4 linked regions of the Lonchura striata genome follow. The protein of the gene in region 4 purifies or fractionates together with the protein of the main gene of each other region. This does not show direct contact. Links are inferred from orthologs where the notes say so. Each region holds a gene or a part of one and is shown on either strand. Other genes may lie near its edges.

Region 1 (7,024 bases), about 38 Mb from region 4:
AAAACTCTTCAACTCCTGGATTCCAGCAGCTAAAGCTTAAAAAAAAAAAAACAAACAAAAAAAACCCCCACAGCCCAGCAACTGAGAACCATGCTCTGAAATACTGGAAAAGCCCCAATACTGCTGAAAGAGAGTCGAGAGACTTTATGGCTGTGCATAAACAGGTATGTACAGGCTCTGTGGATTCCTGGGTATTCACCACGTCAGTAGTACTGGGAGGAGACAAGTCAGCAAAACAAAGCTGTTCACATCATCTCCAGCAGCAAGACACTTCAGCAGCAGCCATAAATATAGTATAACTCTGAGCACTACCATTAGCTGAGGCAACACCCATATTTTACAGAGCATAATTTGGCTTTTGTTTATATTTCTACATTGAAGACAGCACTTGTGAAATATGGAAATCCTCCAAGGAGAAAACCTAGGTGGGAACAGAGCAACATCTGTCATGCATAGGCAGCCCAGGCATGCACTACTTGGGATTGGGGAGGGGCTACCTGAAGAAAGTGAGACTGGAAATCATTTCCCACAGCCTGGGATGTTCCTGGTGGAGGCTGAAACACTGAAATCCAGACTTGGTTTTGGGGTGATTGTAGCCTGGTAGCGGAGGCAGTGAAGCTTATCTGACACTGCCATCACCAGCCTTCTCTGCACACAATTCAGTTTCCCCAGCATGAAATCAAAGTACCTGCAAGTTTCAGCAAAACACACAGCTGCACAGAGAAGAAGAATGTTATTGTCCTTACTGAGTAGTGGCCCACAGCATTCAGCCCTTGTTGGCAATCACAGAACTGATATAGGAGAGAGATCCTGCACATCTTGCTTGGTGTCAGCACTTCATAGCATACGAAAGACCTCACCAACGGGACCCAAGACAGTATGAAGCAAAGCCTTGCAGACCTGCTGCTCACACAGTTGTTTTTTGGGGGCTGTGGATAAGGCTGAAGGGAGATGTGACTGATTGTATTGGGCACCCAAGAGCCCCCAGTGGGGCATGGTTATTGGAAGCATGGAAAATATTAGCTCAAGAATGCGCTAGAAATGGAAGCATGATATGACTCTGTCTAAATCCACTTCTCTCCATCTCCCATGCTCCCCCAGGTATTTCAGTCTACTATTCCCTGAGCTCATGCCCCTACTTAACCCTACAGTTCTTATATACAAGCATCCAGAGTGATCACCTTGCCAAAACCAGCAGTGCCTAAATTCTCTTTGTCTGATACCAAAGCTATTTCTTCCCCTGCTGTCAGGACAGGGTTGAGAACAATTTCCTCTTCTGAGTGAAGTAGCTATAGACACCTGCAAAAGCTGCACTAGGTAAAGGTCAAACCTTGCATTGCCAGACCTACATGAGGCCAGGACAGAACAGCAAGGGATGCAGCATATGTGCCAACAAAACTGTGCTGTGCCGAGATTAGTGCAGCTGTGACTGCAGTGTGGGAGAAAGGAGCCTTTGTAAGGCTCCCTGAAGTAGGACAAGAAAAGCAAGAAACACTAGGGATTTGGGTTGAGGTGTTCTGATAGAGTGGTGTCTGCTGTGCTGGCAGCAAAGCTCCTTGCTGAGACAGTAGATGTTGCTCCAAGAAAAAATGCTGCTTTTCCCAGGAGACAGGGGAAATCTTATTTCTGGGCCCACTATTTAATACTAACATGCCAAACATGGGCAGACCAGCCATGTTTATTTAAAAAAAACCAACATCCCCACAACCTAATAGACCCTAATGAAACACAGTAATTAAGAAGAAATCAACACCTCCTTATCCAAGACAGGTACCTTCTTAATGAGGCCTAACTAGGGTATTTCCAACCTTGTTTCACCCTCCCTTTCCCAGACAACTCGATGTTTAATGATTTCTTACCTAAAGTGCTCTCCTTACTGTCCCACCACATGCTGCTGGGGAGCGTGGGGGATGACACACTTAGCCTTAGCATCAAAGCCATGATGCTGACAGTGCAGTTTTCACTGTCAGCCAGGGATGTTTGGTTTTCCTGGTGGATCTTTTTTTAAGCACACTTCAAACAACCTCCTTTCACTTTCCCTGACAAACCTTAGACGTTAGTGCACCCCCCTTGTTTTCTGCCATCCCTCATGCTGCTTCTCCCTCACTGCAGAACACACCGAGGCCTCAAAAATTATACCATGGGGGTTGGTTTCTCTTTGGCAATTAACACTCACAAATTATGCCAGCTCTGTATGGTGGCAGTTTGTCCCTGAAAAAATCCTTGACCTAAGCATTGGGCAGACAGAGCTGTGAGGGACTTCCAGGTGCAAAGATTATAAACCCACCCAGGTTTGCTGGAGATGTGGGCAAACAGCTGAAGAAATGGCAGAGACTTTCATCTTTGGGCTCCTGAGTGCAAGACAGACATGGAGCTCCTGCAGCAGGTCCAGCAGAGGGTAACAAGGGTAAGGGGGGACTGGAGATCTTCTCTTCCAAGGAAAGGCTGAGGGAGCTGGGCCTGTTCAGGCTTGGGAAGACTGAGAGGGGACCTCATCAATGTGTATGTCCATGAAGGGCGCCAAGAGTTTGGAGCCAGACTCTTCCTGGTGGTGCCAAGCAATAGTGAAGTAAATAAACGGGCCAGGAGACCTTGTGCTCCTTTCTTGAGAAGGCCTTTATTAAAAGGATAGCCTATGGGGGTGGGGGCTCGGGGTTCGCGACGGATCGGAGTCTTTGCCCTTGAAGGATATGTCAAAAGATTCACTTTGCAACTCGTTGATCTAGGGGCTTTACCTCGCTCTGGCTCCTTTGCTTACAGCAATTGCTTCAGAAATTCTGCGGGTCCTCTCCAGCTCCTGGAAACTTTCCCTGCACGTAGGTGTGGATCATTTTGCTGTCTCTGCTCTTGGCTTGTTGTCTGGCTATATTCCGATTTATGTTGAAGTCCAAAAATTGATATACAGTAGACACTAGGCTCTCTGGGAAACGGGAAATCTTCCCTGGGAGCAACTTCCTGGGAGCAGCTTCTGAACTAACCGACGCAGTGTAAGGGACAGAAGGGGCTTCAAACTACTAGAAACAGCAAAACAAACTGGTAGGATTTCTTCTATAAGGGATTTTAACAAAGGTGTCAACGGCAGGAAGGGATACAGAGGCTCCGGGAGTTAACTGGGGATGCAAACTGGGTATAGGGCAAATACATAGGGGTGGAACTAACAACTACATGAACAAGGGAACTTCCAAACTGTGAGGAGGTAAGCAGACAAAAGCTTAGACATCAAATCCATTCATAACAATAGCACAGCAAGCAATGGGGCAGAAAGTGGTGCCCAGGGAGTTCCACCTGGCCGTGAAGAACAATTTCACCGTGCAGGTGCCCGGCCGCTGAACAGATCGCCCAGAGAGGCTGTGGAGTCTCCCTCACTGGAGAGGGAGCCCAAGAACCCTCTGGATGCCATTCCTGTGCCATGTGCTTTGGGATGAACACCATATCAAAATGTCTGGAAAACACTTTCTAGCACAATCTGAAGCATTAGAAAGCAGGCATTCTTTATCTGCACAGGGCACATAGAAGACTGTCTGAAAATTTCTATTCTCTGTGTTATTTATCAACCCTGCTTGAGCAGGGAGGTTGGACCAGATGCCCCACCGTGGCCCCTTCCTATCTGACCTGTTCCGTGCTTTTGTGATCTTTGCTGCCTTATCTGGATTGAAGGTTACGAAAATGATAAATTAAACCAGAATAGCCGCAGTCGAGAACTGTTCTAGCTGTGGCACAGGAGAGCGCGCCCAGGTACCCACCTGCTGGAGGTGGAGGGGAAGGAGCGAACTACACAGCATCCCTGCAAAGGACGCCAGGGTGCCGAGCCCCTTTCCGCGTTTATATTGGCCAAAACCAGCCCAAACCCGGAGATCCTCGGATCCTTCCCCGCTCCGGGGGCAGCCGGGCCCGCCCCGCCCGAGGAGGGACAAAATGGCGGCTGCGGCTGTCAATCAGGGCGCGCGACCCGCCAGCCGAGCGCGATTGGCTGCGGCGGCGCCGGAAGTGGCGGGGGCGCGCGGCGCGGCTCCGCGTGCGGCGGGGCTGAGGGCCGCTCCCGGCCCCGCTCCCGGGCCCGCGCCCGATCCCTTCGGGATAGCCGGGACCCCGCCCCACCGGAGTGGCCCCGCACCTTGGAGCGCCTTCCCCTTCCCAGCCTGGCCCTCGCAGCGCTCCAATTCCCGAGGTTGGCGTCTCCTCGCCCCCCGCCACCATGTTTGTCCTGGTGGAGATGACTGACACTGTAAGAATTCCTCCCTGGCAGTTTGAAAGGAAACTGAACGAATCTATTGCTGAAGAGCTAAACAAGAAATTGGCCAATAAGGTAAAACAGGGGTCACGTATAGGTTGATGTAGGCATCGCAACGTCCCCGAGCGTTCCTTCCTTGTGTTTGTGCCTACTGAGGTGCGCGGGTGAGATGTCAGAGTTGTTTGGATGTGAAGGCCATCCCCCGCGACTGTAAATAAAGAGACAGCCACGTATCATCTCAAAGGGGACATTTTTCTAATGGCTGATGTTGTAATGGGAAGATACTGAGGCACCAGATGGGGCAGAGGAGCACGGAAGAGAAGTGAGAGCAGCTGCTGGTTTGTGTTAAAAGAAGCAATCCAAAACGCAGCCTGAAAAACAAGTGCAAACTAATCCATCCAGTGGGGAATTTAAAGAAAAAAAACAACTATATAAACACATGTCGAACACTAATACTGGAAGAGAAATGATGCTGTTAGTAGCTGATTTAGCCTGTGCTTATTAATTGAAATACATGATGGCAATAAGAAATTAGTCTTTAATGCAGCATATAAAAAGTGTTTTCTTGTGGCCCTGGAGGTCAGAGTTTCCCTGTGCAGTCCCAGGACTGTGATAAGTGTACGGCTTTCAACATGGAGCAGGTGCAAAACTAAAAAATGCAGCTGTAAATGTGAAAGGAGCTCAAAAGAGCAAGCTGAAGGGATCTAGGTTATGAAAAGCAAAAGTCTTCCTTCATCCACTGATGACTGGTGGATGCCTCAAATTTCATAGACAGTGAAGCTGTCTCAGAAGTAGCAGAGAAACCAAGAGTTTGCCCTGTGTCTCCCCAGAGCTGATATAATGAAGATAAAAGGCAAGCCTGGAGGCTTCTGAGAGTGCAACTCTAGCAAAAAGCGTGTTTAGCATTTGGACAAACTGAGGCTGGTGAATGATGGGGAGTTCTTTACTGTCTTAGCAGCTCAGGTTCTCTCACCGCTGACAATTTCCCCAAAGGTTTCTCTTTGTAGCAGCGTTTTTTCCAGTGCCAGTGAAAATGTGTTCCCACAACACTTGGATTGGGGTTTCCCTATGCTGCTGGTGGTGTTGAAGGCAGTGTTCCAAAATAACCTCCGTCCCTCTATTGCTGCCCTTTGAAAAGGTGTGCAAAATGTATGAATTCCATAGTTTGCTTGATTTTACCTGGTGGTTTGCTTGATTTACTGCTCTTGATTTTTTTTTTTTTCTTTTATCAGGTTGTATACAATGTTGGGCTCTGCATCTGTCTGTATGATATCACAAAACTGGAAGATTCATACATATTTCCTGGGGATGGTGCATCACATACGAAGGGTAAGTGCTTTTCCTCAGTTACATTGTGTTGCAGAAGCTTAATTAATGATCTGGAAATGTAAGATGAGTTCAGTTGTTAGAGACAGTGACAACGTTAAGTTGACAGCCTTAGCTCTGTTCCTGTTAGGAGGGCAAGAGGAACATGGTGAAAGTCTCTTATTTTCTTTGCTGCTTTGGGTACAAATACAGCTTTAAATAGCCAGTCCTTCTTGCCTTCTCCAGCAGCCCATCTCTGTTCTACAGTTAGAGCCATAGGTGTGGGGTAAGAAGAGGGTTAATTTAATTGAAGGTAGAAAGTCTGCACATAGAAAATAAGTTGTAATAATTGGTTTGCATTTCTCTGATATTTTTTCTTTATGAAGCATATTCCCTAGCTAGGATAAGAAACCTGTTTCTACATGTAGCATTTGCACAGCATTTAATGCTTTTGTACTAGCTGGGAGTTTTACAACACTTTTGTAGAAACTAGATTGGTTCATCATACATTTCTAGTGACTTCTTTTAATAAGAAATTACTCATTTCTTTACTTTGATTCTTGGCAAATCTGAGTGAAAACTGGAAGTAAGTGCATAAAAGCAAATTTCATTTTTTAAAGTTAAAATAAAGGTTTAAACTGGTAAGAGATGCATTTTTCTGGTTTCAGTTTACAGTGTGAAATCATAGGTTGAACACATGAAATATCTCCTGTTAGAAGGGAACTGCACTGACTCTATGTGCTTCCCCTTGTCTAAGGGGAGTAGAACTCATTTCCTAAAAATAAAAGCTTTTCTAATACTGAAGGAGGATAGGCTTTCCTGCTTGCTTTAATCTCCATTCAGCTTCTCAACTTAGAATTACTCCTTGAACTGAAAGAAGAGAACTTTTCTATCCGAGTTTGGGAAAAAAGTCTGCTTTCAGAATCTGGTGTAACACTTTGATAAATCCCGCTGTGTCTGGTAATAACTCTTTCTTTAATGCACTGCCTAGTTTTATGTAAAAGAGGAGCACTGAGGAGGTACAACTAAAATTATGTTTAATTTCTCAGAAGCATTGTTTGACTGCGATTGTCTTAGTGTAGCATTCTTGTAGTAAGTGCCATGTACTTAGTTAGAAACATTTTATCTAGCTTGGAGGAAAAATCCAGTTATGTTAGAGAACCTTGTTTAATCTGATAATACTTGATTTAGAAGATTTAATTTAATGGAAATACAGCATTGCAGACAAATATAAAAGGCAGAAGTATTACAAGAAAGTATAATTTCAACTGATACTCTTGACTGTGAGACATTGTGCTTCCATCATAATTTAATCAGAAGCCAGCCATGCTCCATGTTTATCATCTTACACTTTCTCTCTGTGAACTTCTTGCAAAACTGAGGAGCTGGGAACAGGACACTGCTGATCCAGCTGCTGCCAGAATATGTACAAACCAGTTAGGAACCAGATCTCTTATTCCCATTTTTCTATCTAATCAGTGCCTCTGA
Region 2 (7,382 bases), on a different chromosome or scaffold from region 4:
TTCCAACGGCACTCAAGTGTACTTGTAAAAGGATACATCTTTTGGTCCTTTTCTTGTACATTATTCTGTAGCCACATTCTCTGCATCTGATAGGATCTCTTGCCTTTATTTCATTTTCCGTATGACATTCTGATGTTATGGAGGAAGAAAAATGAAGTGGGGGCAAAGAAGAACAGCACTGTTAATGCACAGATAACTTTGAGAAGTTATGACAGTCAAATTCTTATTTGTGGCAAACAAACATAGCAAGTGTAATGAATCTGTATCAAAAGCTCAATGATAAGATACAGTGAAAAAAAAAGAGAAAATAAAAAGTAAGCTTCACTTATATTTAAGATAAAAGCAAATCTTGCTAAAAATCACCCAAATATTACTGCATAGAACACATTCCACACTTGATACTAGATCATCTACTAATGAAAATTTTAGTTCATCCCTCCAAAGCCCAAAGTCTATTGTCTTAAAAGACATAATATTCTAGGGATACCTGAAAACCACCAATTTTTAAGTCATCAATTAATCTACAGGTAAGAGAGAATCTGACTACTGTACTTCAGGGAAAGCTGAGTGCCCTAACAGCACTGTCAATAAAACATATAGAGATCGAGGAGCTCCACACAGCAACACAAGCTCTAGAGAATTATCTCCACAACACTGCATATGTACTCCATATATGTGTTACCATCAATGCATAAAGCTTTAAACATCATCAGGATATACACTGCAAGTATTTGTATCTATGTACCCTTCAGTATAATGACTAAGCACTATTCATTATTAGAACACTAAATCTCCAGTAACAAGTAATAAAAAAAATCATTAAATGTCTTTTTTCTACCTCCACAAATATAAATCATTGGCTGCTGCTTTGGAGGCTGAACGTCCTTCTGTGAATCCATGTTCTAAAACAAAAAATACACAACATGCACATTAGCTTGGGTTTGGGGTTTTTGGGTTTGGTTTTTTTTTTTTTTTTCCCAAGGCATACACAATCATTTTAATATCTCAAGCTAAACATAACAGAACATGAAATCACTTTCTTTCCTCCTTCCTCCCAATGTTAGGAATTTCCCTGCTGGAAACATAAAATTCAATAATTTCTTATATGCCACTCATGTAACAATGGTGCTAACAAAGATGGTAAGCCTTGTCATCTTTCCTCCCTCTCTGACACACTAGCTAACTCATTGTTCTAAGGTATTAGAAATATTGGGAACAGACTGTAGGTAGAAAAATAGCAGAAATTAAAAAGCAAAACAAAAGGGAAAAAACCCTGAACAATGAGGGGTCATGGAGATAAAATTCAACCCTTCAAATCCTACCAAATCAAGAGTAATAACTCAATGCTATTCTCCAAATACTTCTTAATGTCCTATAATCGCTTTGATTGTTCAGACATATTTGAAGACAAGTATTTCTTCATGGCATCAGACTAAATAGTTGCATATACTCCACAAACACTCCTCCAAGTTTTAAGTAATCCTATCCTACATGTAAATGTACATGCAACCATGAATTTTGAGGTGGTTACTGTACATAGATAAACACTTTTTCCCCCACCCAATTCAAGTCTAGGTGAGAACATTAATTATTTCCTATTAGGTTTTCTGAGGCTGCTGTTTTCCGTATTGCTGTTCTGACATAGAGGAATTCCTAACCCTTGTGCCAGTAAATAGCCTTCTTGATGCTTCCTTTGCTTCCCATGAGAGAATGGCTCTCAGATGCTTTTGCTTAACATTACAGCAAAGATTATTTCCCTCATCTTCAGAATTTGTTTCATTATAAGTTCAGCTGGGAAGATTATGATACTGAAAACAGGACAGGGACATTTCATACTTTAGGAGTCTGATCAACACTTGACAAACCATCTTGTTAAAACTCCCACTATGTCACTCCATTTAAGAGAACTTGATAAAATCCATTGACTTCTACAGCTTTCAAGTATGCTACACCATATTCATAGTGGCATCTTAACTCACATGTGCTATAGTTTTTTGTGTCAGCATACTGCACTAAGATATGTGCAGTCACCAATTACCACTGGAAAACAACGGACTCTTCTAAAACACAGAGCTGAACTAAGGTGGATCACAGTTGTAGCTAAATACCTTGGGCTAGTGCTGCTTATGGAGCAAAATTATACTGCTGCAAAGGGCAGCAGTGAACTAAAGTTCTGTGTTTTGCAGGGAGGTGCCATAGCTTAGCTGGCCTTTACACACCCTACAGCCCTATGTGCCACCAAGCTGACAGAGCCAACAGGCCCAGTGATGCACCAACACGTGCTGGGGTGCAGCCAGGATCCACTGCAGAGACGTGGGGGTACCATGCGCCAAGAGCACCTCACCAAATCACAGAATGGGAAAGGCTGGAAGGGACCGAAGTCGGTCATCTGGTCCAACCTCCCTGCTTAAGCAGGATCACTCTACAGCACACGGCACAGGAGAGCACACAGATGGTTCTTGAGCATCTCCAGTGAGGGGAATTCCTCAGCCTCTCCGAACAATCTGTTCCAGTATGCAACCCTGCACAGTAAAGAAGTTCTTCCTCCGATTCAGGCGACACTTTCAATGCCTCAGTTTCTGCCTGCTGCCTATTGTCCTAGTGCTTGGCACCACCAAGAGGAGCGTGGCTTCATCTTCTTGGCACCTCTCGCTTCAGATATTTTTGCATATTAATGAGGTCCTCTCTCCGAGCATCTCTTATGCACCCGTGAAAGAAGCCAACCCGCTCATTCACGTCCCGCAGAGCCCACGAAGAAGGGCTTACAGCCCTTCGCACAGCCCACGGGCCCCAGGCTCCCCATCCCGCCCCGATTCCGACCTCCTCCACTGTCCGCGGGTCTGGCGCGCAGAAGCGAAGGCCACGAGCCTGGTTCCGGCCTGTCCCTGCCCACCGCGGGCACGCCAGCAGCGCCCAGCAGCGAAGGGGACACCCGAAGGCCGGAGCAGGCACCCACCGGGTCCGCAGCTCCGCGGGCTCGCCGCCTCCCCGGCGCCCGCTGATGACGAGCGCCCGCGGGGGCGGGCCGTGCTCCGCCCCGCCGCCAGCGCCGGCCTCCGCGGCGGGGCGCGCCGCGCGGCTGAGAAAGGAGTCGGTATTCCGCTCCGGGTGCTAGCCACCCGCGGGAAAAAAGACAGGGGGAAAAAAAAGGGAAGAAAAAAAAAACAAACCAAAAGAAGAAGAAAGGCACACATTATTTTAAGACACAAGCTTCCATATGAATAGCAGTGTGAAGAAAGTAGGCAGCTGCATGGTTAGGTAACACTAGCCCCAAGGTCCCCGGTATTTTCATTATTTTATTTAGCTGTACTCAACATACTCGGGATAAAGAATAGCCCGCACCAGGTCTGGTCTTACGGCTGCGGAGTTTTAATCCACCGAGGTGTTCTGCCTCAAGGTCCTCTCTGTTTTCAGAAGCATTTTACCTAAAATTCGTGGATAAAGCCGGCATCTTGATATTTTGATGACGTGGTCGGTATCATATTTACCCACATGAAGCCAAACTTATATACTACAAACATATATGTTGCGCATTTTATGTGTAAGGTTCTATTATGAGAGAACTTCATATGTCGGTATTCCCCGATGTGCTGAACTAAAATAGTGCAAGCAAGATTTGAAACTACACCGGTTGCTCTTTGTCAGTGGTTCCACCTCGCTTGCGGTAGGAATTTTGAATCTTCGACTGACAGTTTGTAGAATTAGGAATCTTTGCTGTATTTCTCCCCACCTCCCACAATGTTTAACGAATACTATGTTTTATGAATATGCCAATTTAAACTACTAGATCATTCAAAGATTCCCTAGTTTAAGGAAAGATCTCTTTCTGTTTCTGAATACTGAATAAAAATTGTTTCCTAAGCATCCAAATTAATAAGGATGAGCTTTTATCAGTTGTAATTCATTGATGTTCTCCTACCAGCAAATCACCTTCATACAGGACATGTAACTTACCTAAAACGAACTCAGGTAATAATAAATAGTTGCAGTTTCCCTCATTTTGTGTTTAAATTAAACGTAATGAAATCACAGTAATGGCTTTAGACTTGCTTCTTCACACTGCTCTTAAAGAATAAAGCTCTGGAGTGCCAGAATAAAGCACAGGCAAGAAAAATGGTTTGTAAAAGGCAGAGGTACTGTTATAGGTTACTACTTGCATCCTCTCCTCTGCTACGGAGCTGTGGGTATAGGTGGGTACCAAGAGGTTTAAACAGAGGAGAGAAACAGCCTGGGCTCTTTATCGATAAAGGCACGGTAAGAAATTTCCAACTCCTAAAAAAAGCACCCCCCCCCACACACACCCGGTTATTGTTTCTCTAGGCTTACTGGTATTTTAAAAACTCATTTGTCAAACGGACAAATTTAAAAGGACTTACTAAAAATATCTCCATGAAAGATTCGGTTAATCCCGTGAAAATAATGTTTCCATTATTAATAAAGAAATAATGTAAATATTTTTATTATTGGTATCCCTTAAACATTCCCTTGGAAAAATGGGATGCTTTACCAGATCTTACAGCTTCACTTCAGCAGTTTCCGATAAAATCCGCCCCTTACGGGAGGAGCGCTTTGCTAAGTCCCACTCCCATGTGCTGGTAAATTCCAGCCCTAAAGATGCTCCGTTGGATTTAGAGTAGCAGAGAGCGTGGAGACTGTCTGAGAGATTCCCACTGTACTGTAAAGTGAAATAGTTATTGGGGAATTGGCAGGCAAATGAGAAGAAAGATTTGTGTGTCGAGATGGGGAAAGCACAGGGATACAGGTACTTTGGACAGGGGAAGGAAATGCAGCCGGAACCGAGCGCAGTGCGACTATTTCAGAACGTCTCACCTGGTTTCACTTGTTAGAAGTTGCGTTCTCAGGTCTTGGGGGGTTTTTTTTGTGTTGTTTTTTGGGTTTTTTTTTCTTGGTTGGTTTTTGTTGCGGTGGTTTTTTGGGATGGGAACTTTTTTTTTTTTAACACACTTTGTAGTGTGACACTTCTGTGTATTGCATAAAATGTCGCAATTACGACTTGCTAAATTTCTTGGATATTTTTGATCCAGCTCGCATAAATCCATGCAGATTTGAGTGACGGAGACAGAGCTTGCAGTGGCTGTGTCTCACTAGTAAGCTTCCAATTTTACTGAGAAGGTATTTTAGAAATAAATACAAATATTTGAAAAACAATTTTATTCAGTTCCTGTGAAGCAGACGGTATTACAGAAAGCACTTTCAGAAATCTTCGACTACCTTGAAAGAAGTTTCTAATGTTTTCTCCTTCTAAAAAGGAAGGGGGAGATAGTCCAAGAGCCTTTCTCTTTTAAGCCATAACTGTTACCTTGTAGTCAAATAAACAGATATTCTTTCCCTCGAAGTCAGTTTCCGCCGGCTCTGGGTCGGGAACTTTTAAGCCCTTGTTTCCTCGGCCCCCTCTCAGGCTGCCTCACACCAGGAAGAGCGGAGTTGCCAAAGGGGAAGGCTGACAAATATCAGAACCCACGAACAAGAGTTACGTTACTTAAGCCGGGAGTTTGCATATTAAAATATAGGTGTAGCTTTAAGAGCCAGTTTTAGGTCTCGCATTCAGGTCTGCCATTCCCCATCCCGCCGGTGTGAAGAATCACGCTATCCTTACCGAGCCCAGGACAAACATCCATCCACGTAGTCTAGTTTTGGCGGTTTTCTCGTTTTAGTTTATTTTAGTATGCAGAAAAACTAAAACCACAGCAAAATCCAGGAGCCAGTTTCTGAATTACTACAAGTTTTTTAACAAATTAAACAGGAGTAACCCTTAGGCCATTCACGACAGGACAGGGCGCGGAATAAGTACTCTGCACTGTAGCCAGGGAGAATGGTCCTTCCCGGGATCTCTGGCAAAAAGTACCTGGGGAGACTCTATTGGGTCCATGAGGACCTGTGCGGTGCTGGAGTCGGGGATCCTTCACCGACTGCTTTGAAGGTGATGTACTTGACAAACGCTCTGTGACTGTTTTAGTCCTGGGCTATCCGGTAAAAAGGTAATTAAGCTAATTAACTCAAATTAACTAGTACTCTTATAACCCGAGATTAAAGGCTGCGGCGCAGATAAGGGTTATTAGCGGGGAATGCCCCAGGCACCCCCGAGCCACCCCTCAGCGCCCCCGCCGCCGTTGCCCTCCGCCCTCGGGAGCGCAGCGGGCTCCGGCAGAGGCGGGAAAACCCCACCCTCACCGGGCGCCTCCGGGGAAGCACAGCAGGGGCAGGAGCGACTCAGGGGCGCTTCAAGCGTGGGCTGGGCGCGGCGGGGGCCTCGGGGCCCCGGTATCAGGAGTGAGGAGCGGGGCAAGCCTCGCTGGTGCTCCCTCCCGTCCCCGAGGGGCGGTCTCCTCAGGCTGCCGGCCGGGCCGAGCGCGGCGGGGGCGGGGAGGCAGCGGTTGGTGAGGCGGGTAGTTCAAAGCCGAGCGAGGGAAAGCGGCGGCGGCCGCACGCGGGGGGCCGGTGCGGCTGGGGAGAGCGAAGCGGCTCCTCGCCAAGGGCAACGGGCCCGGCCCGGGCGGCGAGAGCTCCTGAAGCTCCTCCAGCCCGCCTTCACTCCTGCTCCTCGCCCGCAGCCCTGCTCGGGGTGCCCCGCCGCCACCTCAGCTGCGCCCGGTGGCAGGGCGGCCTCCAGGCTCTGCTCCTGTGCCCACCGGTTTGCCGGACGAGAGGGCGAAGCGGTTGCTTTGCTCGTGTCCGGCATCCCAGGTGACTGAGACCCTCGGGTGCTGGTCCTCAGCTACATCTCATTTATCGCCGTTGCTGGGTAATTAGGCATTGCAGTTAACACATATTTGTGGAGTGAAAACTGTCTCAGCTGGGTAATGTTTCTCTTGGACCTCTCTCTTTTCTCTCCACATCCTTTCTCACTTCAGGTTATCACTAGGGGTAAGCAATACTTTGAATACACCGCCTTTGCATTGGAAGATCTTGATTTGCTTCACAAATTAGGGTAAGTGGCCCATATCATGCAGACAGGACTTGGCTGTGTCATCTTCAGTATTATTACCTGGAAGGTATCAATGACTTTGGGGTCAAAGAGCAGTCTTTTTTACAGATACCATATCTGTTTAAATAACAGAGAAAATACTTCTGTATCACCAAAACTTTGTCTTTATCTCTTTTGTAAGCAGTGGTGAACAGTGATTTTAAAAAAGGCAAAAAATGTCTTGTTCCATGCATAAGTGTTCTGTGTGTTACTGAGGAACACAAATTACTAGGAACAGGTGTTTCCATCCTAGAATTTGTCTAAGTTGGAGGCACCACTTACATTGGTTCTAGTAACCAACATTCTTCCTTCTCTAGGGTGCTTGGTGAGACTAAACTTGTTAGAAATTGTTCCCTCTCTAAATTTGTGAATCCTGTCCTAAATTTAGTTTGGGTCT
Region 3 (6,959 bases), on a different chromosome or scaffold from region 4:
GATTATGGAAGGATATGGACACACAGTATAACAAAGCCACTTCCTCTGTATTTGAAGAGAAACAACGCATCTTCTGTGCTTCAAACATACAGAACCACAATGGCAATACTTTAGGAAGTAGAGGGGGAAGAAAGATTTCATTTTTTATGCAGGAATGAAAATGGTGACCTACATAATATCTCAGTGTATATTTAGTTGAAATAAACTAGGAAAAGCAGTTTCAGGTGCTTGCAGAGGAAAGAAAGTGAACAGCTCCTACTAGCTGATTCCCTTTTTCCACCTCCTTCTTACATCATAACTTCAAATACCATTAATCATATGCTAACATAATTTAGAATTTTCTTAAGAATCACATGGAACCTTAAGGCTCAGGGTCTTCACTGATGTACCAGCAAGTTCACAGGGGAAAATCTTAGTTCATACTTCTTCCATCAGAGGTTACTGGGTGAGATGGAGTAGAGGATGTAGTTCAGTAGAATGTAGCAAATATTACTGTTTTACACATCTGTGGTATTTATAGCTTTTAGAGTTTTAAAACCCACAGACTGTTGCATTCTGTATGCAACAGTCACACAGGAACTTATAAGTACTCAGCTTCGAGGAAAACCTCACTTCATATTAAAGTGAGGAAAACATCAAAAGCAAGATCAAGTGAGAGTCAGAAACAGTAAAACTGAAAAATAATATTGGGAAATGTGGCAGTAAGGATAAAAATAAAAGAAGCTAGAAGAAAAGACTTCTTAGTAACAAAAATATAGGGCGATTGACTTAACAGATCACTTTTTGGAATACTGGGACACAAAATTAATTTCTGACCTGAAAAAGCATGCACAAAAATATTACGCTTCTTTCTCCCTCATGGTTAATTAAATAAAAAGCACATGTACAAAAACCTTGAATTTTTATTTAAGTCTGCATTGCAAGACAAGCCTGGATTCAGAGACAGACTTCTCAAAATATTCCACATAAACCCATTTTTGAACACTAAAAATGCACTAAAGGAATTAATACTATGGCTACAGAACAGAAACACTATTATTTGTATGTTAAACCCATAATACAAAACCCTTAAAAATTATAAGCCTAAACTGCCATTACTACACTATTCACAGGATGATATGATCAGTATGTTATTGAGTATGAATCTAAGACATAACATCTGTAACACAAAGGATAAAGAAAGATCTCTGTTAGACTGGAAGGGCTCTGTACTGAAGACTGTACAGTGAAGCACTATTTAGAGTGCCAAAGTACACCCTCTAAATGCACACAGCACAAACTGAATTCAGTTCAGGGTGCTACTATCAAAGTAAGCTGTCATGAAAACTTAAGGTATGAAAAAGTAACTGATGATAGGTGGATCGAGGACAGGAAGAGCCAATTGTCAAGTGCACTACACTGTAGTTATAATGTGTTTGGGGCCGACTAAACACCCTCTGAGGTGCACAGTGACACAGATTGGTGACACCAAACAGCTAAACCCTACCGTGCCACTTCGACAAGTGACACTGAGCTTCATCCTCATTATTTACCACACTGCCACAGAACAGGAATAGCAAATCCTAACTTGGAGTGAGCCTTTGAGGAAGGTAAAACTTCAAATGTAGTTTCTGGGAAGAAGAGCATCAGTCAGGAGGTGGCTGTGGAGCAGCTGGCTACAGCTGGTGAGGTCAGCTATGCCCTGAACTGCCCAGAGAACCCCAGGCCCCCAGCACGGCAGCAGCAACCAGAAGACAGCATGGAAGAACAGTGGCATGGTTTCAACTTGCCATGAATGAAAAAGGTTTAAGTTTAGAATGGCACTAGTAAAAATAACATTCATGCATACACCAAAAGAAGCTTTAATTATTAAACTAATGATCTGAGAACAGAAACAGCTCAGCAAGAATTAAAAGCCTCTTAGAAAGCATTAAGCGCTCTAGCCCTTCCACTGTCTCAGTACTATTGCTTTTGGCACATTTCAAATACCTGCCAGATACAAATAGAAAAAAGTTATTTTCGGTAAGCATTCCCAGATACGGTTTCTTAAAAGTTAAAGGAGAGAACCATGAGAACAGTTCAGAAAGCTTCTGGTCATCACTTCACTGTAACAGTTGTTTTAAACAGCCGTAAGGAAAATGAACAACCCAGAAATAAGCTTGCAAAAACAAATTCCCATCAAACAAATAGCACTGTTTTGCAAAACATTTGTGATATAAACACCAAAAGTCTATTCCTAAAACAAAAGCAAGAGAGGCCTACTTTGAGTATCCTAATATGGAAATCAATGTTTTATTCCTCAGTGTTTGCTTGAGAGCACTGCAACTCAAAACGTGCAGCAAGACAAATCCACTGGTTCCAACGAAATGCCAAATAGAAAACAGTTTTAGTTTTTGACAAAATAACTACCAACCATTTTGTATTTTTCTCATACAAGAACACGACAATTCTAACAACTAGTCAAAGGGCACAACTGAAAATTGAAATCTCTAACAACACAAGGTGTTTTGGGATTTTTAAAATTTATTTTGCCAAGTCCACAACTCATCAAATTGTAGCTAATGAGGGGTGAACCATCCAAGACCTTCCAATCCTGTTTCTAAGCGACATCAGCACGCACCCAAAGCTCTGTGCGGAAGACACGGCAGAGGCAGCCCCAGGCCGCGCTGCCCTCGGGGCGCGCCCTGGCCGCACGCCCACAGGAGGGGCTGTCTGCGGGCAGCGGGCAGAGCCCGGCGGAGCTCGGGGCCGGTTCTGCGGAGCGCTCGGGCCGGGGGAGCCGGCCGGCCGCAGCCCCGCGCTGCCCGGGCCCCGCGGCGCGGGAGGCGCTGCCGGGCCCGGAGCGGCGCAGCAGCCGCGTGGAGGCCGCTCGCTCTCGAGACCGCTCCCCGCGCTGTCGCTCCCCCCTACCTCTCCAGCTCCGGGTCCTCCTCCATGGCTGCCCCACCGCTCCCCGCTGCGGCTCCTCAGGGGCAGGCCGGCGCCATCACCCGCGGTCGGCCGGGGGGCGTGGCAGCGGGGCGGGCGTAGGGGCCGGCGAGGACCCCGGCGGGAGGAGCCGGGGCGGGGCGAGCCGGGCCCCGCCACACCCCGCCGGGCACCTGCGGCACCGGTGGTCGCGCCCCCCGCCAAAAGGAGAGCGGGGCGGTGGGCTCCCTGGCGGGCAGGACCCCCGTGCCCCGCCGGCAGGGCGGGGGAAGCAGGCGCGGGGCGGTGACTGAGTGTGGGAGGGTGGGAGCGCCGCTGGGGCTCTCAGTCTCGGAGACGCCCTGGGTTTGCTCCTTGGGCGCGGCCGCAGGGCTCGGGCAGGCGGGGACAGGTCCGCGGGCAGCCCCGGGCGGGCAGCGCCCCACCCGGCCCCTCCTCCGCGCCGGCCCCGCCCGCGCTCCCCACCGCTCCGGGCTCCGCACAGCCGATCAGGCGAGCGGCGGGGACACCCCGGCCCCGGGCTCCAGCGCGTCCCGCCCCGGCCCCGCTGCCATAGGCTGCGGTTCGGCCGGCCCCGCGCCCGGGGCCGCCGCCGGAGTGGCGGAGCGCCGCTGTCACTTGGGCCGCGCCGCTGCCCGCGGCGGGGGGCGGAGGCGGGAGCACCGGCCCGGCCCGGCCCGACGAGACACGTTCTCCAAGTGCTGCTGCCCGGAGTTTGCTTCCCCTAAGGCGGGGCGGGCGCAGCCGGCGCGGCTGAGGAGGAGAGCGCTGCGCGGAGCCGGCGCGGTGAGTAACTCCCCTGCCCCGCGCGGTGCCGGGCGCTCAGCCCCGCTCAGCCTCCTTCAGCCGAGCGGCACCGGGGGTCTCCGCGGGGGCGGCGGCGCCGGGCTGAGCTCTGCGCAGGCAACAAGTACGGGAGTGGGCAGAGCTCCGGAGCCGCCGTGCTGAGGTGGCTGAGGCTGAGGTGGGATCCTCGGAGCAGCGTCCCCGCCCTGGAGCCCCCGGCTCGGCGGCGGGGCTGAGCCCGGCGGCCCCTGCAGCGCGTCTCTGCGAGGCTGAGCTGTGAGCTCGGGTGCTGGAGACCCACTTGGAAAGCGCCTGGTTCTGGGTCCCCCGATACACCTATGCTGCTCTCGTGTGGCTTCATTAAAGAAGCTCTTTCTTGGAGAGGAGTCAGATTTCTGCGTGCGGGGGAGGCAGAGAACAGCTGCGAGCGAACCCCTGCTGCAGGAGCGGGTTTCAGGTTGTGTGTTTTACAGCTGCGCCAGAGGAACTCGGGGCTGCCTGCGAAATGCCGCTGAGTCCGTGTGGTTGGCAGCTGTTTCCAAACGTTCACGCTAGCCCTCGGAGCTCTGACCCGCACTCCCTGGTTTGTCCCCTCATTTGTTAGCTCTTAGCACTGAAAATGTGGTTAGAAAAGTTTTCGTCTTTTATACTTTTAACAAGGCGTACTTTAAAATTACCATTGCTCTTGATGGAATCATAGTACTTGGTCAACTAACTGAGAAAACCGTTCCTGGAGCTCTGGTGGGGGTGAATCTGGTAGTCCCTGGTGACTTTTCTTACTGTGTTCATAATGCACAGTACTGATTGTTTGCTTCTCTAGAAATCTATTAAGTACTTCTGAGCTTCCTTTAATTCCTCTTTTAATTACATGATTTAGGGGTTTGGTTTTTGTCTGTGTGCAGAGTAAAAAATGTCTGTGACAGATTAGCTTTGGACTACATTTGATAGTCTCTGGAAATAAATTTCCAATCATAAGTACTTTTAAACTTATATTCAAAATAAGAACTGGTCTGAACTGTGCTCTCATTAGATAAAGACTTTGAATTACTCATTTTTTTATTCCTCTACCCACTTCTTCTGGCTTTGTAATGCTTTATTCTAAGCTGCAATCCAGCTCAAGGAGGCTTAGGAAGAAACATCAGATGAAGAAACATCAGATGGTTTTGGTTAGTGTCCCTTCCACTTGGAAAATAAACATGTTAGTACCATATGCTGCCCTGTCTTTATTAAAACAAATTTCCTTAAAATGGAAGCAAGTTATATCAGTGTACTTGCTAGAACTGTAAGACTAAATAGGAGTCCTTTATAATTATTCTTTTTTTCTAATTATCAGATATCTAAGGAATCCTCTCTCCTGAACACAGTACAATATAAAATTATTAACTCCAGAGTCATCAGGCTGCAAATAACACTACTGTGCCCAAGTAGATTTTTTTAAATAAAAAAGGTCATAATATTATGTTTTAAAGTGCTTGTTCTGTTGCAATTTGAAAATGTATGGATCTTAAAACTCATAATTTTGCCATGAGTTTTCAGTTCTGAATTTCTAACTATACTTACCCTTTACATTGCTTGGTGACTTCAGGATGAGGGAGCCCAGGGCCTTGGACTCAGGTCTGAGATTTGCAAAGGTAGTACCTTTTCCTAAGACTGCACCTGAATTTTCTGTTACCAAAACAATAAAAAATGTGGCAGTTTAGGGACAAAACTTTGCAAGAGGAATGTAAGCAGGTGATTGGGTGGAAAAATACTGTTCTCCTGAGATGGGTTAAAAAATAAGCTTACTAAAACCTGTCCTGCCAAAAATGGTGGCTTTGGCATTGCAACATTTGGCATTTGTTTATTATGTGCTACCATGGAAGCACTAATCACCTCAGTGAAAGTTTCTTTTTTTGTAAGCCTTTACCCATACTGAGCGGTCTCAATCTTGGTATATATTTATGGATATATATTTTAGTAATATATTTATATTACGAAAAAACAGCAGAAGTTTGTTAGCTACCAGTTAAAACTATGTCTGAAAATATGCCAAAATACCCCCCTCTTATTTAATCTCATTTTTCTGTACTTCTAAAAAAAAGTTAATATATTTGAAAGCAACTGGGAAGAAGTTATACCAGCAATATCAAAGTGAAATGTGTACTAGATGTTAAATAAATACAAATTATTGCCTTGCATCAGCAAAATGTTGTTTGTTTAAAGAGCTACTAGACACGAACGGCTGTAACTAATGAGAAAACAACATTTATTTCGTGTTAAAATGCTCCCTGGTGTAAAAGGCACCAGAGGAAGCTGGTTGTCTATTTGATATGGCAGTGGCTTCTCTGGTATTTGGAAATTCTTTGTTGATTTGGTTTGCAGAAGCATTTTTAATGTGACGCCATTGACTTGCATGCTGTTTAATTGCTTTATTAGGTCAGTGGAGTTTGTCCTTTAGAAATTCTAGTGCCTTTTGAAGATGAAAATGCTTTAAAATATTAGTATTAAGTTATATAATTGATAGGTTAAGGTATCTATGGAGCAGTAAAAATTAATAATATTATGGAGTGTACTTTTTGTGTTCTTTTTGTTCAAATTCTGTAGATATTTATGCTTGCATATGCTTGATTTTAAACATCCAGATAGTTCTTTTGCAATGAGGCTTAATGATAAGCCTGCATGTAAGTGTTTTCGGGATTTATGTTTGCTAAATTCATGGGCTGAACCTGTCATGTGTTTTCATACTGACTACTCTGTATTCTGTATGAGATAGTGTAGGTGGCTGATGGGGCTGGGCTGCACCTTGATGACACATGTGGAGATGTCCCCAGCCCCAGTGTTGTGTTACAGGGGGTCTCGGTGCTGTACCTGACCTGGCTTCATTCTTGCAATGTGCTCTGCAGTACTACAGGCATGTCTTTTGTTTCTGAAGCACTTTGGTGGTACCAGAGATGTCAGTCATTTATGTTCTCATGGGTGCTTATTTCAGCTGATGTCAGTTCAGCAAATAATTTGCGGGCTGGAACAGGGGCAGAATCTCTTGCAGAGTCTTTCCTGCTGAGCTGTGTGTTAGGTGGTGGACACAAAACCCAAAGCATGCAGCTGTTTGATATAAAGTCAGATAACTTGTGAATGTACAAGATTTCAAATTGGTTTGCATTTTTTCCATTCAAATAATGGAAACTATTTTTGATGTGGAAACTTGGGGTTATATAGCTCAATATTTGCAGTCTCATTTTTGCTTCAAGTAAGCAAGTTGATATTGCTCTGGAGTTGTGGCATGTTGT
Region 4 (7,393 bases):
TGGCATGAGGACTTCAGCTCTGTCATGAGGAGAGCCACAAGATGAAGCAAGAGAAGTATACTTTTCACTACTTTCATAGAAACCCACTCAAATTCACCTAACACAAAATACTGAATACAGGAAAAAAAAACCCTCAACAATTTAGAATAAAATTAAAAATATTTATGTAATGATGTTTCAGTCTCTGAAGCTTGCTTTTACAGTGATGGTGGAATGCAATGCACTACCAAATGTAACACACATGTACTCAAAATTACATGCAGCTATTTTCCAAGACAAAAAAACTCAACAAGACAGATGCAAATATTAATACCTCATGAGGTGATACAGGTCGTGTCACATTGAAGCTTTCTTCCACATCTGGAGTACCCACATAGATATTGAGGTACCTGTAATACAGTTTCAAAATGAGCAATGAGGCAAATATTTTTCAAAGAATCTGAAGGAAGCAAAATTTTACATATACTGAAAAATTAAATTATTTTGATGAACACAGTTTGACAATTTGACAATAATGACCAATGATTCTTCCTAAAGTAACTCACTGTATTTGAGTTGTGGTCAAATTAGTTCAAATTTAGCCTGCATGTGCAGTAAACCTTTAAATCTTCCCATATTTCATTGCATAAAGTAGGAGATAAGTCATGAAAAACACCTTCTTGATTTATACCTACAGAAGTGCTTATAAACAAACCCCTGAGACAGTACTCATGCTGCTACTGATATGGAAATCATCTCATGCTTACTTCAGATACCACATTGGGTCGGCATCACTTGTCACTTTTTCATTTGCCTTCATGATTTTCTTTATCTGGAGGAGAAAAAGAACAAAATGGAACCATGGCCTTTTCTGAGTACTAAGAGCCACTCTCCCCCACCCAGGAAAGCCTACCTCAACATTGATGAAATAGTTGAATGAGTCTATGTGCTGCTTCACCAGTCCTTTCACCTGAAAAATAATGCACGCAGCAAATAAAATCAGCTTCAGTAACATTAATCACATAAGGCAGAAATTAAGATATAAGCCTTTATAACTGGGTTTGGATAACTGTGCTAAATTCTTTCAGCTGACAAACTTCTGGGAAGTGGCTGGATGCTCACTCTGGTTCTCCACTACATTTTCAGGTTTACACTGGAACTGTCATATAAAGAGCATGGATAGCATCTCTGAGAGCCAGTAAAACAGGAAAAATAATCTGGAAACATTACATATATACACTATGGACTGAGAATAACCACACCAAAATGCAAACCTCTAGGAGGATATCTCCACAAAATAATCTTTAAATTAATCAAGAAAACAATCTATGGAAGAAGTCTACTGATAACTGCAAGGAACTAAAACAAAAGGCAAAATCCACAGAAAAGTGAGGACAGGTATTCTGGGAAATAGTAAGAGCCAGAAGAAAGGAATGTGAAGTTAGAAAGGAGATGAAATAGTCACACCATGAAATGAGTGTGTAGCACTAACCTTCAGAAATGCTGGAAGAAGTCTCCATTTTTCCTGAAAACAAAAACAGTTTGAGACATCTTTCCAAGGACTAGCCAAATATCTAACATGCCTGAGCCTCTGTCTACATGTTTTATTCCTATTGTTGTTTTTTGAACGGTAACATTGTTTAAAATCAGATCCATTTAGGAAAAAACCAAGAAACAACTGTCTAAAGCCAACAGAGGTGGATAAAAATTACCTGGATCATCTCAGTAAACCATACAAGCAGTATTTGGGATGCAATTGCACACGGCCTTTCCTGAGAGTAACTTCTGTGAAAATATAGTTTTCTGAGAAAACTCCTTAACACCATGTCCTCATTTAAGACCAACTAATGTTTTTCTGGTTTTGTTCTGTTAACACTGTAAATTATATTTGTAAAAAGGGAAGATTTCCTACAACATTTGCTTTACAAAATACATGCAAGAACCTCAGTCCTGGGAGCAGCTGTAACACTTACCAGGACCCTAAATCCTACAGAGATTTAGCAAAAGTACTGACAAGTGCTAAGTGTATCGAAGTTCCTACAAACTTTCTCCCATCTCTAATCATTAATGAGCATAGGGAACATCTCTATGTCAGCCCCATGTTTTCCCCACCACGGCAGTGCAAAAACTTGCATATATCTTTGGCTAGAGACAAAATCATTTATTTAGGAGGAGTGTTCCCAGTCCTCATATGCTTCTCCATATACTACCATTTTAAAATACTACAAAATTAATTAAACCAAAAACACCTGTAGAAAGTTGTTAGCTTTCTTCTACCCACAGAAATGTTGATGGTGCTCTTGGCTTTCAGCCTTCACTGCTACTGTTTGTTAATCTACTAATCTTGCTTGTGATCCCAATTTAACATCTAATAGTGGCAAAGCTAATGCAGTAAAAAGAGACGTACAGAATGGTGTGGCTTATACCACTGGTCCCTTGTGGCTGATATGCAGTAGCGTTTACAGTCTGGAAAGATGAAGAGTGCTTGATTTTTTATAATTTAAATGCTATGTCTAAAAAAAAGGGGTTGAATCTGTTAAACAGTAATGCAATTAAACTGATGACCTAAGGATGAGACTAATGGTTTTAATTTTAAGTAAATATTTCAAGGCCAGGCTGGAAGGAGAAGGGTGCAGCGGAAGGTGTCCGTGCCATGGCAGGGGGATGGAAGGACACGAGCTGTGAGGTCCCTGCCACCCCGCGGGACACAGCCCGGGCAGACGGGGCCCGGCTTCACGAGGGGCTGCCCAGGGACAGCTCGGACCAAGCAAACCCCCACCAAACACCCACACACACCCAGCGGCGCAGCACGGGCAGCGGCCGCTCCACGTGTGCGCCGCCACAAGACTCCTTCCCCCCCAGCCCGGCTCGGCTCAGCCCGGCCACGCTCCGGGAGAGCCCGAGGCGAGCCCGGCCGCTTGCCCCGCTGACCTCCACTGTGTTGACCGGGGCCGCCGCCTGCTCCGGGGTGAGCGCACCGAGCCCCAGCGCCTCCATGGCCACCCGCGCGCCGCGGCGCTGCGGCGCAGCGCGTCCCCCGCGCGCCGGCGCCGCCCCGAAGGTTCCGGCCCCGCGCTGCCCGGGCACCTCCGAGCGCTGAGCGCGCCCAGCCCCCGGCAGCCGCTGCTCCCTCTGCCCGCGGCCCGCCCCTCACAGTGCCCGGCAGCCGCTCCTCCCTCTGCCCGCGGCCCGCCCCTCAGCCCCCGGCAGCCGCTCCTCCCTCTGCCCGCGGCCCGCCCCTCACAGTGCCCGGCAGCCGCTGCTCCCTCTGCCCGCGGCCCGCCCCTCACAGCCCCCGGCAGCCGCTCCTCCCTCTGCCCGCGGCCCGCCCCTCACGGTGCCCGGCAGCCGCTGCTCCCTCTGCCCGCGGCCCGCCCCTCACGGTGCCCGGCAGCCGCTCCTCCCTCTGCCCGCGGCCCGCCCCTCACGGTGCCCGGCAGCCGCTGCTCCCTCTGCCCGCGGCCCGCCCCTCACGGTGCCCGGCAGCCGCTCCTCCCTCTGCCCGCGGCCCGCCCCTCACGGTGCCCCGCGGCCCGCCCCGCTGGGCCACTGCAGAGCTGGCAGCGCCCCGAGGTCTGCCCTGAATCCCCGCCGGAAGGCGGCGGGGACATGGAGCAGTCGGGCTTTAAATGGCTTTCCTGTATTTTTTCGCATGTAAAGCAACGCGGGGAAACAGCTTTTAGCGTTGTTGTTATTATTGACTGCTGTAGCTGAATCACCTACAAACCTGCTCGTTCTCTTGTACAAGGCTCGGTGCTTAGAGACACCAAAATCGCAGTCAAATGGGGGGCTACTCATCTGCCCCAGTTCAAGATGAAACAAGAAGCACTAGTGATCTCTGCACATTCCTGTGGCAGTAAGGTTTTGAGCTACATATATATATATAAATATAATAATTGGCAAGATCTAAAAGCAGAGTGTGAAATCAGTGCATACAGACATCTATCTGCTGTGGCTCGGGTTCCTCATGAGTAACACTGACAGGGTTGGGTCTGAGCTCCACCCATCCTGGACACTAAGGCCCCTACCCTGAAGAGGAGTAACATTTCAGACTCCTTCCATTTGGTCTCCTGCCTAAAGGAACAGTCAGTGGAGAATTTGTTTCATACGTGGCAATCCATGGTTAATCCATGGAAAGCCTCTGTCGGGCACAGGGAGAAGCTTGGAGAAGTTCTCAGAGAAGCCAGCCCTGCAGTCCACTGCTCCTCCAACTCTGCCATGCAAACCCAATACTTCCTTCATCCAAGTTGTCAGATTTAAGCAGACAACTGTCTTCAATATTATTTGTACAGCTGGGTTAAACTCAGTGCTCTGCCAAAGGAGCTGCTTCTGAGAAGTAACAGAAAAACAGTCACAACAGAATAGTGAAGTCATTTATCTTTGGCATTCAACAATTTGTTGCATTTAATAATGTTCGTATAAATGACTTTTCACCACTGCTAGTATCACAAACAAAATTTAATGCATACAAATCCTCAAAACTTATTTTTTAATAAAGCTGCTACAGAATGGCATCTTGTTTCACAAGGACAACTTCTGAGTAGAGGCAAGTGCATTTCAGCCACAGTAGCATAAACAGCATGCAACACGTGACATTAAACAGATGCAATGTCCCTGTTGGAAACATTAAATTAAAACACATTAAACAATCACTTGAAACACAGGCCATGCTATAAAATGCCCTTTGCAAGTCACTTTAATCACCAAACCCCTCCAAAAAATGCTATGTTTTGAGTATTTACTGGTAAAAACTATTATGACAGTTTTCCCAGCTCATTAAAGAGCTAAACTTTGTGTTTATTTGTACAATAGAATGGATATAAAACACTATAATTAAAAGTTCATAATCATATTAACACCTTCAAATGTTCATAAAATCCTCCTTTGGCTGAAGTTCAAAATCATGTAGGTAACTTCTAATATTGTAGCAAATCACTAAGATTCATTCCCTCTTCCTGCTTTTGAAATGCATTCTTCTCTTAATTATTTTGAATTGCCTACCAAAATTTCATATTTATCTGAGCAAGCCTGGCTTACCTAGTGGCACAGTTATGATAGTCTAAGAGTTCCTTTTTTCTAGGTTTTCCAGGAAACAGTTCCCTTTAAAATATGTATTCATGTTTATTTTGTGCAATATTTTCACAAGGGGTAGAACAGAAGTGCACTAGAGAACTTTCTCTAAAAAGGCATTTTGAAGAAAGTTTTCCTTAACATTTACTTGTGACCAAAGTCCTTGGACACTGAAGAACTGAATAGAAGTAATTTCCTTTGCTAGAAATGGACTACAAAACCACAGTGCTAATAATGCCCAGGATTTTTTAGACCTTTATAATAGACACTGTAATGTACATAAACAATTTGTGTGACACATTACACTTTTACAGGTTATTTTTGTCTCTTCATAAAAATAGATTGTAATATAAAACATTAAAAACAAGCTCTAACTTGTACCACACTGAGGTTTTCTATATATGACATCTTAAAATGAGTATTATATGGTAATATAGTAAAATATCATTTTCAAGTAAATTATTCAATTTCATAGACAAGAACATGTCTATAATATGAATTCCAGCACTATCTGATAATCCCAGTAATCTGAAAGATGCAAGATAAAGTCTGTGTAAACTTAAAGAAGTTCCCTTCCACCTTTCTCCATTTCAATTCTATTCGTTTTCTGTATGCAAGATTCCCAATGCCTTAAGTGGGCACTAAGTATTGGGGCCCAGTCCAAAGGAATTGGAGGGAAACAGGAGCATTTCTCACACACTCCATAAAAAAGTGAATCTAATAATATTTTCAAAAATGACTCATTACTCAACTTCTTGCTTTCAGGCCTAAGAGTATCTTGTGAAAAATTTACATTCTATTGGATAAGGGCATGAAAGGGGCAGCTCTTCTGTGGTACACTGTAAGGTCAGGGTTAAGTGCTTTTGGGGATAAAGGTTAGGAAGACCTAACTTAAAAATACTGAACACCCATCTATTAAGATCAATGATCAATACATACACATATTAAAGATCTGTATGACCTCCACTGAATAAACAAGATGCTTATAAACACTTTATATACAGAAATTTACTCCACCCCCCCACCATCATGTTTCTCAGGTGTTTATCATTAATACCAATTAGAGTTGAGAAGTTCTGAATTATTCCTACTTGAAGTGGTGAATGCTGCTTCTGTAACTGCAATCCTGCAAACAGCTTGTAACACTGGCTTTCCTTAATGTAACAGAGGCAAAATTCTGGGTCCAGTAATTGCAGGAGGACCTCAACTTTGCCTAGTATGAACCTAGGATTGGTTACTAAAGCAGTTATGCTATACTGTCTTCTTCAAAGTATTCTCAGAAACATAATTGATGTCCGAGATGTTACTCTACAAAAATACAATGTAAGCATAGTACATTTTATCTACAGTTGTTTTGTAATTTCCTAATATGCATTGCTATATGTAAATATATTTGAGTTGAAAAATAACATTGTTTTGATGGTGGCAAAAAATCAAGTACATTGCCAGATCTTTCCTACTGCAAGTCATAATAAATGCTTGCTATGGAAATTAATAATTCACTGGCTATTACAAGTGACAATCCATTAAACAAACAATTTTCTATTAAAATATATATATGACCTTGACATTAATTTCTTTACAGTGAATTTCAGAAACTATCTGTATACATTTTACAAGACCTTTCCCCATCAACAGTCACTGGAGTAGGCTGTTCTTAGAGATCTGTGACCTCCCCACTGTCTTGGAAGATTAAAAAAAGGGTACATTTTTTAATTGCTAGATGTTTTGGCTTCTGTCTTCTCCATTGCTGCCTCAGGAAAAAGCAGTTTTCTAAGTATGTTTGCATAGAATGGTCCATACACTTTTTTATTGAAGTTTACAATGCTTGCATACTGAGATCCCAGAAACTCTATCTCTGTCTGAATCACAGAAAGGCCTCCTGGCATAGTAGGCATACACTTCTGAAAACTTGGAAGAGCAAGCAAGCTTCTCATGAAGAGCTGGATTCGTTTGTCTGAAATGGAATATAAAGTATGCTCAGAACAAATGTCACTTTGTAAGTACCCTGCACATCAGCACAGCAAAAAATCCAACAATGTAATGAACAACTCTTTCCCAAGATTGTTTTGGGGTGGGAAACAATACTGTAAGCTTAAGTTTAGCTACTGCAAGGTGGACACAGCATAAACCTACTGCAACAAGTTACATTAATTAATATGAAGTAGACTCAAAGGAAGGAAAAAAACTCAGAAGGTTTAAACCCAGAATGGATAGAAAGAAGACTAAACAATACTCATTTTATCTAAATTCTTCTCCAAAATACTAGGCTGCCAAGGCGTGTCTCTACATGCACTTATACAATTATTTCTTGATGTGACTAACCACACTCTGCAGCATACCA

The links.
Region 1: the proteins of POLR3B (region 4) and POLR3H purify together in Homo sapiens (affinity purification with mass spectrometry; 8 studies listed by BioGRID and IntAct, with this or other methods). This does not show direct contact. The link is inferred for Lonchura striata from reciprocal best matches to the Homo sapiens genes POLR3B and POLR3H.
Region 2: the proteins of POLR3B (region 4) and POLR2K purify together in Homo sapiens (affinity purification with mass spectrometry; 3 studies listed by BioGRID and IntAct, with this or other methods). This does not show direct contact. The link is inferred for Lonchura striata from reciprocal best matches to the Homo sapiens genes POLR3B and POLR2K.
Region 3: the proteins of POLR3B (region 4) and protein POLR1D purify together in Homo sapiens (affinity purification with mass spectrometry; 6 studies listed by BioGRID and IntAct, with this or other methods). This does not show direct contact. The link is inferred for Lonchura striata from reciprocal best matches to the Homo sapiens genes POLR3B and POLR1D.

Annotation. Positions count from the first base shown.
Region 1 is NC_134607.1:58,368,378-58,375,401, forward strand, and holds the start of POLR3H (DNA-directed RNA polymerase III subunit RPC8), read left to right. Parts: upstream 1-4,003; 5' UTR 4,004-4,195; coding exon 4,196-4,306; intron 4,307-5,463; coding exon 5,464-5,560; intron 5,561-7,024.
Region 2 is NC_134603.1:21,794,263-21,801,644, forward strand, and holds the start of POLR2K (DNA-directed RNA polymerases I, II, and III subunit RPABC4), read right to left. Parts: upstream 3,009-7,382; 5' UTR 2,821-3,008; intron 903-2,820; 5' UTR 900-902; coding exon 839-899; intron 130-838; coding exon 37-129; intron 1-36. UniProt on the Homo sapiens protein: DNA-dependent RNA polymerase catalyzes the transcription of DNA into RNA using the four ribonucleoside triphosphates as substrates.
Region 3 is NC_134604.1:69,173,863-69,180,821, forward strand, and holds the start of protein POLR1D, read right to left. Parts: upstream 3,021-6,959; 5' UTR 2,916-3,020; coding exon 2,890-2,915; intron 1-2,889.
Region 4 is NC_134607.1:20,708,946-20,716,338, reverse strand, and holds the start of POLR3B (DNA-directed RNA polymerase III subunit RPC2), read right to left. Parts: upstream 3,014-7,393; 5' UTR 2,977-3,013; coding exon 2,911-2,976; intron 2,414-2,910; exon of another isoform or gene 2,387-2,413; intron 1,505-2,386; coding exon 1,472-1,504; intron 950-1,471; coding exon 893-949; intron 812-892; coding exon 747-811; intron 390-746; coding exon 314-389; intron 1-313. Other genes in the region: TCP11L2 (T-complex protein 11-like protein 2), read right to left, coding at 6,762-7,006. UniProt on the Homo sapiens protein: Catalytic core component of RNA polymerase III (Pol III), a DNA-dependent RNA polymerase which synthesizes small non-coding RNAs using the four ribonucleoside triphosphates as substrates.